Oryzias latipes: one gene and its partner. The main gene of each other region encodes a partner of the protein of the gene in region 2 in a complex. Links are inferred from orthologs where the notes say so. Each region holds a gene or a part of one and is shown on either strand. Other genes may lie near its edges.

Region 1 (7,945 bases), on a different chromosome or scaffold from region 2:
TTCCTGCTTTCAAGGTGAAGGTCCCATGTCCTTAATAGTTCAGGATGTGACTCTCTTAGGTCAGCTGATCAAGAACGCCAAAAGAAAACTCAGCTGAATTTTCCATCATATAATATCCATCTGCAATATCTACCAACATATAAGATCATTAGTCTGCTAATATTACCTGATACAATATTTAGCCATGGCTTTGAGAGAGAACAAATGGCATCAAATCCAGGGAACAGGCACGAGTTTGACTCATTCATCATTAGATTCTTTATGGATTTGCTGGATCTTAGATCAAAAGGTTTTCCTCTGGAATCGGTAATGTAAAAATAAAACTTAGCATGGCTTGATCCCATTTTATGCTGACGACTTATTTAAATTTACGACTTAGAAAGATAAAGATGCTGAAATGATCTAAAGAAGAAGCAGAACATTTAGAAATGCAGTAAACTCCCAAACAGAATACAATCATCAGATAAACTAATGTTCATTAAGTCCGTACCTGTGAACCTCGAGTCAGAACGTGGAGGAACTGAATCCCAAACAATCTGGCCAGTTCACTGGTTCTGCCCACGATGTCGTTCTGTTGCAGGAGATGCATGGAGCTGCAAACCCGACTCACATAGTGATCCACCATCTTCCACCTGCAGGGACCATCAAAATCCTGATGAGGCTTCTCTGGAAAACTAAGATCCCAGCCTCACAGGTGAGACCAGAAAATTGCGTCAGGCACAGCCACGAACCTGTATAAGTTGGTGTTGTGGTCGAACCAGTCGGACAGCGTGCGGTGACTGAAGAGGGGGAAGCGCTGGTGGAGAACGTGGAAGGCCACGTTCTCAAAGCTGTAGCTGTTTAACGCCACCTAGAGGACAAACAGATTTTCTTTTGCTCTTATCCTGGTCTTTCTTCCAGCAAAAGATATTGATCCTCATGAAACTATCTAGATTTAAAATCTGATTTCTGGAATTGAAAAATATATATTTATTATTTAGCTTCTTGTTCCAGCAAGTTTTAATGTAGTTAAAAACTAAGAGACAATCAGTTAAGTTAAAAATGATTTACATTTTTTCGAATGTCTTAAACTTCTGAACGAGCGGTCATCATTTGTAAGTAGTCTGAAGAAAAACCTAAACCCAGATTTAGGAAAAAAGCTGACGCCAGCTGACACCTGCCTCGCTCTTCATCACCCTCCACAGGTTTAGCGTGACCCGTCCGATGATGTGGATCTCTGTCATGGTGTCGGCGCCATATTCGTCTTTTTCTGCAGCAAATCGGTTTTCTTTAGAGTCGCCTGAGAAGAGGAGTAGACATGGTGTCAGAGGAGCATCCACCTCCGCTGGAAAGGATCATACCAAACCTTCTGGCAGGTTAAATGTATTAGAACATTAGGGTTCATTGGTTTTGTCTCATTGAAACCTTTTGACCTTCATCTCTGACACATGAACAGACGTTCTGCTCTGAAACTGGACTCCTGCTTGTACCTGGCACTCGGGACAGCTGCTGGCACAGGTCCACTCCCAGCACAGCGGCTCGTTGGAGGAGGTAACCCCAGGAATGCATCTGCACCTCGTAGCCCAACAGGATGTCTGGGTCCAACCTGAGGGAAGGAACCCAGGTTCAGGTCCATGGTTCTGCTCTTCAGCTGCTGTGGATCTTTCTTAACATACCTCCTCATGATGCCAACGAGCTCCTGGAACAGCATCTTCTCCTCACTGGCGTAGGTCACCTGCAGCCCGGACACACCGGACCGAACCAGGAGTGGCGCTGTCTCCCTGCGACCTGCTGGGACAGTTCATGGGTTCAGCCCTCAGAACCACAACTGGAGATGAACCTCACATGAATCCTCACCTCGTCCACCGGGCTCGTGGTCTTTATCCACCATGATGGCGCCCGTCAGCTGGGTACTGTCTGCGTCCGGGAGTGGAGCGTCGGAACTGAAGCAGTAGAATAAGGCACATATGGGGTCAAACTCCGGGTCGGGCTCCAGGTCTCGCCTGGTTCTGGCATGGAGCTCCATGGCCATCAGGGTGAGGTGCTGGACCTGCAGAGAGGGAAAACCTGCAGATGAATTTGGAGGCAGAGCTGAAGTCTTCTGCTGAGTATGGAGCAGAAAGTGGCGGTCACCTCGTGCAGAGCTTTGGCGTCCTGCAGGTTCTGCATGCTGACTTTGAAGCCATAAGAGTTGGAGATGCTCGGCCCTTCGATCTGAGAATGTTCTTTCTTTGGCACGTTCAGGCCAGCAAACTGGTTCTGTGGAGAAGAACCAAGAACAAAAGAAGCTTTGATAATGGTGGAGGTGGGAGGACCCTGAACCATCAGAACGACGTCCTGACCTTCATCTGTGTGGTCAGTAAGACTCGTCTGAGCGGATCGGCCTGGCTTCTCCTCCGCTGGAGTCTTGGAGAAACAGAATCTCCTGAAAGAGAACAGAGAGGGAGATGGTGACACCTGCTGGTTCAGATGCACAGAGACAGGATAGAGGTTATTTTGGGGACATTTTTTAAGGTCAAAAGAGAGGGGACAGAAGAAAAATAAACAGAAAAAAGAAGAGATCTGTGCATTTTAGATGCAACCTTTCCCAAAGCGGGACAGCAAAAAAAACACATCCCTTAAAGTTTGACTACAAATGACAAATATTAACCAAACAACACGCTTGCAGCTGCGTTCTGACAGACGTGTGAACAAATAATCTTAGAAGACAAGAAATCAAAAACAAAGAAACACTAAAACGGTGGATTCCAAAACAAATCACAGCATGAATAAAATGTACAATTTGGTTGGTGTGTATATGTTTGCTGCTCCACTTGAAGTCTTAGCCACAACTGCCCTATAGGTGGATGTGAATGTGACTAAGGTGCAACATGATTTCTTTGGATTTAGTATTGCGACAGCAAAGAAAGGATGTTTTTGTCTGCTAAAGGAGATAATAAAACTATCTTTATCTCTTTGATAAAGATAGTTGGTCTCCTATTCTCTCTGATTAGTTTTGACGTCTTTTTCAAAGAAAACTGATATTTTTGATCCTTTTACTTCTTTTTTTCAGAAATATTTCATGCAGACCCTGCTCTCACCCTCAGATATGGGCGTGCTGCACATCGGATCCTGGTCTTCCATGAATCTACGCCGTTTCCTTGAGAAAGGGGTACAGTTCAGGCGTGGGCTGGCTCCATCATCCTCCACATCACTGCCGTGAAGAGAAGAGGGACTGTTGGCCCCTCCGACTCCCTCCTGTAAGTTTGGGATCCCGGGTGAACGTTCTGTTGGGGTTCTATTGAGGTCGCTGAGGCGGTTCGTGTCTGGAGAACTCGGCTGCACAGACTGCTGCCACGGGGGTAGATCTGGAGAGTCTGGGGAGGTGCTCTTAGGATCTTCATCCTTGTCTCCACTGCTGCCGTCTTCTGACACCGGACTTTGCTCTGTGGACCCGCACTGCGAACCCGTGTTCCTCACTGGAGTCACATTCAAGGACAGATTCAGGTTGCGTCTCCTCTGGGTCCTGATCCGGTTCTGGTTCTCTCCCTGTTCAACCTTCAGAGCCGGACAGGCAGAACCAGCAGGCTGCCCCATTTTTGAAGGTATTCCGTCTCTCCTTCGGTTCTGCAGGCTCTCATACTGCCTCCTGGCTTCCAGCCACAGCTGCACGCACTCGCGGCTCGGCGGGTTCCTGCAGGGCAGCAGGATCACTTTCTTGTTGGAGGCCGAGGACGATACAAGTTCTTCGGCTGCCTCTGCGTCTTGGGGAGAAGAGACGATGGCAGCAGCGGGGCGTGTCATGGCAGAGAAGGCCATCTTCCAGAACCGGAGACCCTCCTGGGAAAGTTCCCCACTGAACTCTGCCAGCTCCTTCACCAGCCGGGTTTCTACTGACAGCTTACGGCCCCCAACCTCCCTGCAGAGAAGATTGAGCAGATTTTAGTTCATGTGAGAAGATTTGGAGAGCAACTCCCCACAGCTGCTGGAGGAGCACCGTGTCAACATCAACACATAAGTAACACTCGTCGTTTAAGGTACCGTAAATCTTTATGCCACCAAAGTGAATCATTTGATTCTGACGTGGAGCAAAGCAGCTTTTAAAGTGGCTTTGCAACGATATGCAACACATTACTAACGTGAAAGAGCTGCTCAACGATGCAAAGCCACTTTTCTCCACCTCAAAATCCACTGAAATGATGTAATAATGTAAAGAGTTTAAGAGTTACTATAGTCCACAGAACGTTATGGGTTCAATTGTGTAGCATTTCTTTTATTAGTTGTACAACTACTACCCTGTAAATGTACAATGCAAGTTTTAAAACCACGATAAGCATTGGTAATGATGGGGCAGATGGCGTGTGCTCTGCATTCTTACATTGGTTTACCAGGGGCGTCCGAGGGATCACTGCAAAAAGGCTCCTGGAAGGTGGCCTCTGACAACTCCAGGTCTGGCAGAGTGCTGAGGATCTCCTCCCGACTTGGAGGTGACATCAGGGGCTTGAGGATGTGGGCTCCACCCCCTGTGGCTCGTTGAAGCTGGCTTGCCCTCGCCTGTGACAAAGAGCTGGAGCTTGACTGAGGGGAACTGCTGGGTGTGGTGGACGTAAGCCCATCGAGGCCATCCAGAAGATCACTTGTTGGGGAGCCCTCATGCTCAACCAAAGAGGCGGAGCTCAAAGCCAGCGGAGGCACCGGATCTAAAGCTGAGAAGAGCAATTCTTCTCTTTCACAGTGGAAGTCTTGAAAAGGGCTTCGATTGCTGAATTTATTTGAAGTGCCGTCCCAATCTCTGCTCTTCAGTTTCTCAGAATCAAGCAATGCGAGGCTGGATGATGACTGTCTTCTCTCAAATTTGTCAAAGAGGTCAGGGCTTGCAGGCCTCGATTTGTCCCCTTCAAGGCCTTTTTGAGATGAAACTTGACTCTGGGGAAGATCTTCAAACCCAATAGTCTGAGCAGACACTGCTTCCTGACTGATGTCACTGAGGAATTTGACAGGTAGATTTTTATCAGTCAGGACAAACTGACTGCCGGTGTACGGACTGGAGAAGTCCGTTCGGCTGATATCATTGATGTCAAAAGAGTAGTTGTGGGGGAGCTCTGGTGACAAACTCCCCTCCATGCAGCTGCAACCATCTTGTTCTGGGTCTGACAGGAAGAGTGGACAGTCATCCAAAAAGCTGCCTTCCTGCTTTGGCAATGGATTGGGTTGGCTTCTACTTATCCTGGCCTTCTTGTTTTGCTTGCCTCTTGGTTCTTGCTTTTTGTCCTTGGGAGTGGCAGACTTTGGAGTCCTAGGTTTCCTTGGAGTTGTAGAGGGAGCTTTTCTGGATTTGGGTAATTTAGCTGTAGGACTTAATAGTGCTGTTGCCTTGGCTACGACAGTAGCATGGCTGTTGGTACCGACTACTTGTGTGGGAAGAGCCTGTCCCTGCTGCCTTTTCTGGAGAAGCTGCTTAAGGACAGCCAAGCCAGAGGTGGTATCAGGGAGAGGTTGGGTCTCCCCATTCTTTGGACCAGAGTTTGGAGAGACTTCTGGTAGCTTGGTATCTTTAGTGTGTTCAAGTGAGGCCTGACTAGCATGTGAAAGTAATGGAGGTGTGCTTTCCTCCTCTGTCTTTACTACAACCGTCTGACAACCTTGTTGCTTCGTCTCAGATGGTCCTAGAAGACTTTGGTTGATTTCCATGATCGAAGTGTCACAGTCTTCAACCTTTGGTTTAATAATCTGCGCTATTGAGTTGGAATCTGATGAAGGTGTAGGCTGGGATCCAGCTTGGCTGATACCTTCCGAGTCTACTGGCTGCTGAAATGGTGGGACCTCTTGAGAGGAACCTTCTGATGGAAGTGGCTCATTTTCAAGGAACAGAAGCTGAGAGCCGTCTTTACTTAAATCACAGATTTCTGGTTCTCCAGTTTTCTTTTTACGAGACCTTCTTTGTCTTCCAGCGGTTTTTGGACTTCCAGTTTTAGTTTCAACTTTCTTTGTCCATCTAGTAGCAGCACATCTCTTTGAGTTCTCTTTTTGGGGCTTGTCTGTTTCTGGAGGCTTAGCAGCAGACTTTCGAACTTTCCTTTTTGTCTCAGGGGGTTTCTTAGGTTTGGGGGTTCTACGCTGGGCTCCTTTGGTTGAAGACATTTTTTGTGGCTTGTGAAATGCAGAACTAAGACAAGGGTCATTAAGAGGATTGATCAATTGCTCTGAACTACTGTACATAAGAGGGTCACTTGGTGACCAACAACGTGGAGGTGTCGATTCTGCAGGGCTTAGGGATGTGTCAGAGAGATAGCCCAGTTCTACCATGACATCTTTATAGTCATTGTCCCGGTCGTCTGTCAGCTCACAGTAACATGGTCGAGGCGGGGGTAGAGAGGGCAGAACTGGGCCTCTTTGACAGCCTTTAGCCCTTTTGACTCCTCGACCTCGTTTTAACCAATGCTTGGAGGTGTTGTTGAGGCCTTTCTGTGGTGTCTTCTTGTTTGTGCTGTTAACCTTCACCTTTCTTTTGGGTGTTTTTTTGGCTTTGAGCTCAATAACAGGAAACTCCACAGCTGGAGACTCGGGCACCTTGGGCCAGAAGTCTTTTAGAGGGGCAAGTTTGTTGTACTGCTCCAGTTTGTCTGGTGTCAACTGTACTGACTGCTCCCCTGATTTCATTCTGGATATCTTTACCAACATGTTTTTCTGTCCTTTGAACCTGTTGATAATAATGTACTTGATGATGATAGGTGGTTCTTTCTTTCGTTTTTTCTGGTCTTTGACATGTAGCCCACCAGCAACATTGGTCTCCTTGAGTCTTTTTTTGACAGAGCTTGAGATCTTAGACTGAGTGGGACCCGAGTGTTCTCCATCTTCACCGTCACAAACTGTCTTACGTTTGGCCCTCAGGGAGTATTTACTTCCAGGCAAGGCTGACGGTTTGGTACATGTAACTTTAGCAGCTAAATCTTCATCTGGACTTAGAATTTGTTCTTTAAAGTCTTTGGGTACCTCAGATGAAGCGGTAATAATGGTGGAGTTTGAAACTAACAGCTCGGACGCCGGTTCCATTGGTTTATTTACACGGCTTTCATCATATTCTTTTTTAACAATTACCATTGGTTCATCTCCGATTGACTGAGCTTCTACTGTGGGTTGATCTACGAGCTCCTCGGTTTCTACAGTCACAGAATGGAGGCTGGAGGAGGTGAGGTTAGATGTACCGGTTGACGTGGAGTCATGACTTAATTTTGTTTTGTTTCTATGACCTGCCATTCCTAATCTTTTCTTAGACGTTTTAAGTTTTGACCTCCGAGACGGCGACAGTTCTTGATTGTCCACGGGTTTCTTGTTCCCAGCCTTCCTCCTGCTGAGGCAATTGGAGAGAATAACACTGGGGAAGAACTTGTAGTGTGCCTCCTGTTGGGCCACAATGGTCTTCTCGGTTTTATTTTCCTGATAGTCTTCATATCTGATTTTCAGCTCACCAACATCTCCTTCTTCCGTTTCCTGGCCCATTTCTTCTTTCTGTGGATTCACAAACCCGTCTTCTTTCATGGGCGAGGAGCTGATGCTAGTCAAAACTTGGCTTTTACTGTCCATGGTACTGAGGTCCAACTCTGTCTTGGACTTTAGCTCAGAGTAACACAGAAAACTGCCGTGTTTTTGAAGAATAGTCAAACAGTTTGTCCCTACGTGTTCTATGCTGCCATAAATCTTTCTGCTTTTAGTGATGTTGTCACTTCCAAATGGAAGACCTTCCAGTTCGGACTTATCCACAGGTATGGAGGACTTCTTGTCATAAGGGCACAGGGGTCTTATGTCCTCTTTGTCCATTGAAGCCTTGTCAGGATTGCTAGTCAACGTGCAAGAAATGGGGTGTTTCACAGGCTGGATGTAGGGCATTTCTTTGTTGATCTGGAACCCTGCAGAACATTCATTGCCGTCTCCCTGGCTGCTTTTTAACTGGAAACGCACGTCAAGCGGCTGATCTGTGTCCAGCATA
Region 2 (8,658 bases):
CGACATCATTTCATTTTTTGAGTGGAATACTGACTGAGAGAAATACTACCTAAACACATTTTTATTCTCATTTTGTCTCCCTCAAAAAGATCTTTCTATTTGATACTTAATCGACACAACCACAATACACTAAAAAATAATGACATTCGTTTTCCACGAAATAAAATCGATAATCCCTTTTCCTTTTAGTGAGTAAAGCAATAAAAATTTGATTTTCATTCATTTACATGTTAAGAAAACATACAAAACATAAGGAAGCATCCACTAATTTTACCCTGAAATCTATTAACTTGTTATGATATTGTATTTGACTGCACCACATTTTGGTCTTAAAGCTTGGAATAATCATAAAGAGTATTTGTTTATTAAATGTGAAATATCAATTGACCCTTGTGCTATCCTAGGCACTTTAACATTGGGAGTTGGGTCATCTAGACCCACTAGACAGTGTGCTAAACCTTTTTTCTTCAATGATTTGTGAACCTCACTGGTGTCCATGGATTACATGAACTCTTTCCACCTTTATCCACCTTTGTCAAGGTCAATTAATGGTGGGGTCATCTAAGATAACACAAGGGTTAAAAAACATTTTCTAAGGCTTTCATATTTTTTCTGCACTAAATAGCACTGGAAGCCAAATGCATGGGAAATTATCATTTTAAAGCAGAAAATTTAGAACACGCTCATGAATTCATTGAGGCGGCAAGATTAATTTACAAAACTATTTTAACAGATGCTGTTTCTGTTTTTTTAAACCAAACTATAAAAAACTAATTTAAACAAACATCTGTGATGCATGACACCTTCATAGCCTGCATACCCTGCACGCTTTTCTAGAGTAAGATTTTCCAAATTGACACGATTGTCAAACAGAATGAGGGGATGAGAAACCTGAGGAGAAAGCTTACCTTGTGTCCTGCAGGGCACAAAGTGCAGACTTCACAGCGTACATTTCCAGAGAACACTTGCACGTTTGTTATCATCAAATTGTTATCAACCTATATTTATGATGTACTTGCAGGATAGTTGAAGAAGCTACTTTTTTTCAGTTCTTGGGGTCTGATAAGAAAAAATGATAATTTTGTTATCAGATGACACCTGTCCAGCAAGCGCATACAAGCTAGCAAGCAAAAATCATCTGTTTGAATTTTGACTTTGAAAATCAAAATCATCTTACGTAGTTCCTCTTGTTAGTTTTGACCACTGGTTTGCTCAAGTTTCCAAATCTTCAATGTGAAACACCTTTATTTTTTTTCATTGTGGATTTCTTCAGTCATAAATCTCATTGAATTGTTTTGCAAAATTGAAAAATTTGTGTCCCACTTCCTTAGTAGCTAATAAATAACCAGTTAAATTCATTCATATGGAGTTTTCATAGCTTCTACATTTATATTTACCATCTTCTTTACTGTAGCAAACCACTGGATTACCAGTTCAGTGTTCTTCACTCTGTACATAAATCTGCACGGAATCCTTCAGGTTATGTTGAGGATCATGTACCGAATGAGATCAAATACTTGCACTGGTGCCATCAGATATTGTTTTGTGAATGGATGAACAGGCTGGATGTGAAGTATTTGCTTCTGTGTTTATGACACTTCATCGGGCCACCGTTGAAAATAAGAATGCTGTTGTTAATCTGTTTTGCCTGGATCAATGAAGGTTGGATAAATAAATCATAAGTTTATTATAATGAGACAATGTTTTTTTTAAGGAATCATGACTTTATTCCAGAAAAGTTGACATATTTAGGACAAAGAAACATTTTCCATCTCTATCTAGTGAATGTAAGAAACAATTGAAAATGCATGGCTCATTTGGAGTTATGACATATTAGTACTAAAATAAAATGAAAAGGACAAATAAAAACGGTAGAAAAAAAAACACATGCACATTTCAAAGTCCAAAAGTAACACTTTCTACCCAAAATGGAAAATTACAGTGAGCATAGTAAGACAAGGGAAGAAGCTCTTCAAAATCTCCGCTGCTTGTTATAGTCTCCAGGCCCCGGAAGGCCTCGGGGGAAGCCGCTCTGTCCTCCTACAGGCATGTTGTTTGCTGGACCTGCCATCATCGGAGCGCTATCTGTAGCCATAGCAGCAGCATTGGCAGGTCCAGAATTCCCACCTAGGGAATTTCTGTTCATGCCCAACCCGTGACCACCCATGTGCATCATCATATCTTGTTCTCTGTTTTCAGAAAAGTTGGTTCTGAAACCCTCCTGCTGCCTCTTCATCATCTCCTCGTTGCGCATCCTCATCTCCTCCTCCCTCCGCCGGCGTTCCTCCTCCTGCCGGAGCTCCGCTTGCTTCCTCTTCTGCACCTCTTGGTTGTGGAGCTCTTCCATCCGGCGCAGCTCCTCCTGCCGCCTCAGCAGGTCTTGCCTCATCAGCATCACTTGATGCTCGTGTCTGGCTGCCTCCATCTCAGCCTCCAGCTTCTCTTGAGCTTCTTTCATGTTGCGGTCCACCATCTCGTACTGCTGCTTCTCCATCTCCATCAGGGCTTTCCAACGCATTGCATATTCATACTCAAAGGAGCCCGGCTGAGCAAAACGCGGTGGCTGCTCCCGTTCTTTGTGATACTGTTGGTTCTTGTTGATCAACTTCTCGGTCAGTCCTTCATCTTCGTCGAACTGTTCCATGGGCTCCACTGTAATGGGTCGGGGGAAGGCTGTGAGAAGATAGGCACCATCATTGCATTTATCCAGAGCCTTCCTGGCTGCGGGCTTTGAGGTGAACTCGACGATGCCTTTCCCCGTGGGCCTCCCCCTGTCATCCACAATCACCACCGCCCTCTCCACCTGCCCGAAAATAGCGAAAGCTTCTTCCAGGAGATCGTTGGAGGCAAACTCTGGTAAATTCTTTACACTCAAAGCGGCACCGTGCGTAGCAAACTTGACTCGGATAGGTCTGCCCCTGAATACATGATCATCCAGCTCGGCTCTGGCGATCTCAGCTATGATCCTGGTTTCCAGGCGGATGAAGCCGAAGCCTCTTTCTTTGTTAATAAAAATCTCACTGGCTTTACCATACTTTGCAAACAGCTTCTCCAGGTCATCTTCTGTGACGCCTGTGGGTAGGTTTCCCACAAACAGCCTGCTCCGCTGTGTGAAGGTCTTTTCTCCGGGTTTCCTGAAGCTCTGCAGGTCCATGGTTAAGGCCGCGTTGGGGTTGGTCTGCTCGCTGGTCTCCGGCTGTTGGCCATTGCTATTAGGTCCTTCGGTTTTGAAGTATTCCCCCTGGCGGTTGTGGCCGTGGTTATGCTGAGGGCCTCTGTTTCCTTGCATTATTTGACAAAGAAGTCAAAAAATCTGGTAAAGTGTGCTTTGAAAAGCAGTACAAGGGGCTAACAATGTCGTACAAAGAGTAACAAAAATGGCGACACGGTGCGCTGCTCTGACGGTTGTGTGACGTCACATGTAGGCGACATCTACTTAAAATTTCCTGACGGCATCTTTGTAAGACGATTTCTCTTAGAGTTTAAACCCCTGGCTCATTTTTATTTCTATTCTTATTCTTCTGTTTGTTAAATATGTGTATTTGATATTTGCAGTTGTGTTTTTATTGCATACCTAAAAGTATATCCTTGTAAAATGGCATATTGTGCAATAAAGTTTATTTAAAAAAATATTTGTAAAACGATTACATTCACGTTTTCTTTTAAAATGTTATTTTCATACCGTTTTTTAAACAAACAAGCAAACAAATAAACAATCAAAAACATTAATTAGATAAACGATATGCTGGAAAGACATAACTAACGTCTCGCGAGACTTCCCGATAAAAGCTTTAGCGGGCTATTCCGCGGGAACTGCGCTTTTTCTTAAAACATCTAAAAGGACTTCCCGTTTAAGGTATTGTTGTTCTACTTTTGTTATTTGTAGGGAAATGAGTCAGTGACATAATATGTTGTTGCTGTAAAGGGGGACGCTGAATCTTAAACATTCAACTGGTTAACAAGGATTTTAATGTTCCTTTACTTAATTCCTTTAAAGGAAAACCATGTTTTCTGACGTGAGCGCCCAGAAGAATGGCCCCTCTCTTCTCTGCAGCCCTGCCTCTGAGGAGCAGGGCCCTACCTTCGAAAGGATATCACTACCCTACGAGTTGTACTCCGATCGTTACAGAGTTGGTCAGAGGAGCTTTAGTCGTCAGTATGCTCACATTTATGCAGCAAGACTCATGCAGATGAGGCCCCTGCTGGCAGAGAGAGCTCAGCAGAAGTGGGGTGAGTTCATCATGTTAGCATGCCAGTTTAACCATCACTTGATTATCCAATACTTCTTTCCCCCTCTTCTCTGTCAGGATCTAATGTTCTTATCAAGAAACTGTGCGACCTAGAACCGGGGGAGCAGTGTTGTATTGTGGGGACCTTGTTCAAGCGAATGGAGCTGCAGCCATCCATCCTGAAGGAAATCAGTGAAGAGGTTAGGAGTCTGGTCTTTTTTGGATAAACAAAGCCACGTTTGATCTGTTCCTTTCATTTTAAAGATCCTGGACGTCTGTTTTTCAGCACAATCTGCTGCCTCAGCCTGCACGAGCCAAATACATCAGTGAAGCAGATGAGCTGATTTTAGAGGATGAACTCCAGAGGATCAAGTTGGAGGGCAAATTTGATAAAGATAAGTGTGTCACAGGTCAGTGTAATTGATGATATTTGATACTTTAATAAATTCTTTATGTTAAAAAAAAGTTGCCCCTCTTAGGTAGTGTCGTTGCAATATATGGAGCTGAAAAGAACGATGGCAAGTTCACCGTTGAGGACTTTTGCATGGCTGATCTTCCTTTACAGACACCAAGACCTGCGCTCAGCTCAGACAGGTGAGCTCAGGTGTGCACAGGTAAACCTTTGCAGTTAAGGGTTGCAGCTCATTAAAGCTTTGTCTTGGCACAGGTTTGTCCTCCTGGCTTCAGGACTCGGGTTAGGGGGCCACAATGCTGACAGCATGCTGGGGCTGCAGTTGCTGGTTGACATGGTCACCGGTCAGCTTGGAGACACAGGCGAACAAAGCGGCGCAGCAGCAATTTCCCGGGTTCTGTTGGCTGGAAACCTCCTGAGCCAAAACACCCAGGATAAAGACGCATCAACAAAGGTCATCCCCCCTGACATGCAACCACTTGACTTTCCTTATCATCTTTGTCCTTATTTTGGATAAGTTGACTTTTTGAACTTTACTTTTAACTATCAAATGCCTTTTTTTTCCTGTTTCAGGCCAAGTACCTCACAAAGAAGACCCAGGCTGGCAGTGTGGAAGCCATCCGTGTTCTTGATGAGCTGCTGCTTCAGCTGGTGGTGAGCCGGCTGTGTAAAAGTCATCTAAGATTAAACTATTACCAACGATAACTATAATATAGCAGGACGCATTTTGTTGTTTGCCAGGTCTTTGTTTTATGGGTTTACTTTGGCACCATTCAAACTCTTTTTTTGTTTTGTTTTATTTTCTTCTTTTATTTTGAAAAAATACCCAAAAATTAGAAAATTAAAATAAAGAGTAAAACATAAAAGAGAATAAGCATTTATGTATTCTTCTAGTTTAAATTCACTTTATTGCAAAGTTAAATAAACTATCAGCTGTGACAAACTCGTGACCAGAAATCAGAAATTCAAATCAATACATTTCACAAATGTTGACCTGTTTAATCAAAGCAGAAGGAAAAATAGTACATAAGTAAATAAAATGTCACATTTCTTCTAAAACATTTGATGAGTTTGTTTGCTATGTTTAAACTACTTTCCATGAAACCGACTGTTATAAACAGAATCAATAAACTTATCGTTTAAATTGTTGTCATGAAATACCTGCCAAAACCTGGTTTTATTTACTTTTTATCTTAATTTCTTTTATCTGCTGCAGTTCTGCATGTCACAAGGGTGACATGCAGAACTGCAGCAACTATAGAGGAATAAAGTTGATGAGCCACACAATGAAGCTGTGGGAAAGAGTAGTGGAAGCCAGGCTTAGGAAGAAGGTGGAGATTTGTGAGCAGCAGTATGGTTTCATGCCCCGTAAGAGCACCACTGATGCCATTTTTGCTTTGAGAATGTTGATGGAAAAGTACAGAGAAGGTCAGAAGGAGCTGCATTGTGTGTTCGTAGATTTAGAGAAGGCGTATGACAGGGTGCCGAGGGAGGAGCTGTGGTACTGTATGAGGTCGTCTGGAGTGGCAGAGAAGTATGTCAGAGTAGTTCAGGACATGTATGAGAGAAGTATGACGGTGGTGAGATGTGCTGTAGGTCAGACAGAGGAGTTCAAGGTGGAGGTGGGACTACACCAAGGATCAGCTTTGAGTCCTTTTTTGTTTGCTATGCTGATGGACAGGCTGACAGACGAGGTAAGACAGGAATCTCCCTGGACAATGATGTTTGCGGATGAAATTGTAATTTGCAGTGAGAGTAGAGAGCAGGTGGAGGAACAGCTAGAGAGGTGGAGGTTTGCTCTGGAAAGAAGAGGCATGAAGGTCAGTCGTAGTAAGACAGAATACATGTGTCTGAACGAGAGGGATCAAGGTAGAAGTGTTAGGTTACAGGGGGCTGAGGTGAAGAAGGTGCAGGAGTTTAAGTACTTGGGGTCAACAGTTCAGTGTGATGGGGATTGTGGAAAAGAGGTGAAGAGGCGAGTGCAGGCAGGTTGGAGCGGTTGGAGGAAAGTGTCAGGAGTGTTGTGTGACAGAAGAGTGCCAGCAAGACTCAAAGGAAAGGTGTACAAGACAGTGGTGAGACCAGCTCTGCTCTATGGGTTAGAGACGGTAGCAGTGAGACAGAGACAAGAGGCTGAGATGGAGGTAGCAGAGATGAAGATGTTGAGGTTCTCCTTAGGAGTGACCAGGTTAGACAGGATAAGGAACGAGTACATCAGAGGGACGGCTCACGTTGCCTGTGTTAGCGACAAAGTCAGAGAAGCCAGACTGAGATGGTTTGGACATGTTCAGAGGAGGGATAGTGGATATATTGGTAGAAGGATGTTGGAGATGGAGCTGCCTGGCCGGAGGGCAAGAGGACGGCCAAAGAGGAGATATATGGATGTCTTAACAGAGGACATGAAGTTGGCTAACGTTAGGGTAGAAGATGTTCATGATAGAGTGAGGTGGAAAAGGATGATTCGCTGTGGCGACCCCTGATGGGAAAAGCCGAAAGAGAAAGATCTTAATTTCTTTTATCTGTTACAAAGTGTCTCCTTTACCAACAATCACGTCATCTGCTTTGGTCACATCCTTTTTTTTTTTTACTTTATGAAACGGTATTATTTCCTGAAAACAGAGATATTTTGCCAGTCACTGAAACAATTTATTTAAACAATTTTTAGACAGCAATAATAAAACTAAATAAAGTCAACTTTATTTAGAAAGTGCTTAACAACGCTGGGTAAAAACAAAACAACAAACAAAAACAAACAGCATAAAATCAATAAATTAAACAAAAATAAATAAAACCCAATAAAAACCAATAAAGATCTAACTTAAACAGTCGGGAGTCCAAGACCTGATTCTTCAGGCAGCCAACAGTTTCCGGTGAAAATATTTTTATTGATCCCCTCATGTTGTTTCCTAGTTTTTAAATAACTGAACCAAGATGAGTGTGGAACCTCTCTAACAGCAAAGATCCATTATTTTATCAAGTAGAAATTAATAATCCATTGTAACAAATCTCTTTCTTTAAAAAGAAAAAAGGAAAAGTCTGTCCAAAAAGGATATATCTCCATCTAGTGGTTTGATAAAGGAATTACAAACAAACTCAATATTGCAGTTTATTTTGTTTATCAGCGTCTGGAGGACATAGTAAAGCACAGACAGAGCAGATGGGTGTTTTGGGAGACATTTATAAAAAAAACGGACTTTTGAATGTTTTGTGTAGTAATTGCTCACTGGTATTGCCTCTTTTGTTTTTTAAGGCTTCTGTTCCAGTAGATGTAATGCCGGGCCAGTATGATCCAACCAACTACACTCTCCCACAGCAACCTCTTCACCCATGTATGTTCCCCTTATCTTCTGCATACAACACCCTGCAGCTGGTCTCTAATCCATTTGAAGCCAGCATTGATGGAGTGAGGTACGCAGCATCATCATTCACACGATTTTTGTCATCAAGCGTCTTGATGCGTCGGGTTAAGCGTCTTGCTTAACCTGAAATGATCTTGCAGGCGTGTGGAAATTTAGACTCTAGGTTTTACCGAGTACCAGAGCAAATGGCCTAAAGCAGCATCAACCGCTTTATTGTCAGACAAGATTTTCATAGACTGGCCTTTAGGCTGTGATGGACATAAAAACTATTATTTTCTATTTTTAATACTCTGGGTTTGCAACTTTATCAACAATGACTTCCTAACTTGATAAAGGTTGGTAAATGCATATGTTGCTGAGCCTGCTTGTATGGGAGCGACCTATGAATCCATATTTTAAGTAGAGACTTCAATGCAGATTGTTTATTTTTTGAAGTTTCTTCCTCTGTGGCTCTTTTCTGCCTAAATAAATTTTCCAAATATGTTTTTTTGTTGTTGACTTTGCTAGCTTGGGGTTTTCATTTTGGCAGTGATGTACTAAGTGTCACGGATGTGATCAGCGTCTTTGAGAAGGTAGTGGCTGCAGGTAAGACACGTGACCAGGGCGAACCCTTTGACTGAGGGACAGACAGTTTTGGCAGAAAGTTTTCCAAAATAAA

What was found. Proteins that work in one complex are often made in the same cells at the same time.
Region 1: pold2 (region 2) and rev3l share a complex: the UniProt entries of both Homo sapiens proteins name them as parts of the tetrameric Pol-zeta complex. The link is inferred for Oryzias latipes from reciprocal best matches to the Homo sapiens genes POLD2 and REV3L.

What each region holds. Positions count from the first base shown.
Region 1 is NC_019882.2:10,262,485-10,270,429, reverse strand, and holds part of rev3l (DNA polymerase zeta catalytic subunit), read right to left. Parts: coding exon 4,337-7,945; intron 3,878-4,336; coding exon 3,060-3,877; intron 2,405-3,059; coding exon 2,322-2,404; intron 2,239-2,321; coding exon 2,113-2,238; intron 2,030-2,112; coding exon 1,837-2,029; intron 1,771-1,836; coding exon 1,656-1,770; intron 1,586-1,655; coding exon 1,470-1,585; intron 1,280-1,469; coding exon 1,161-1,279; intron 851-1,160; coding exon 732-850; intron 633-731; coding exon 491-632; intron 1-490. UniProt on the Homo sapiens protein: Catalytic subunit of the DNA polymerase zeta complex, an error-prone polymerase specialized in translesion DNA synthesis (TLS). Lacks an intrinsic 3'-5' exonuclease activity and thus has no proofreading function.
Region 2 is NC_019867.2:18,718,844-18,727,501, reverse strand, and holds the start of pold2 (DNA polymerase delta subunit 2), read left to right. Parts: upstream 1-3,732; 5' UTR 3,733-3,856; intron 3,857-3,997; 5' UTR 3,998-4,004; coding exon 4,005-4,230; intron 4,231-4,307; coding exon 4,308-4,429; intron 4,430-4,515; coding exon 4,516-4,639; intron 4,640-4,708; coding exon 4,709-4,823; intron 4,824-4,896; coding exon 4,897-5,095; intron 5,096-5,214; coding exon 5,215-5,295; intron 5,296-7,891; coding exon 7,892-8,049; intron 8,050-8,658. Other genes in the region: nono (non-POU domain-containing octamer-binding protein), read right to left, coding at 1,973-3,289. UniProt on the Homo sapiens protein: Accessory component of both the DNA polymerase delta complex and the DNA polymerase zeta complex.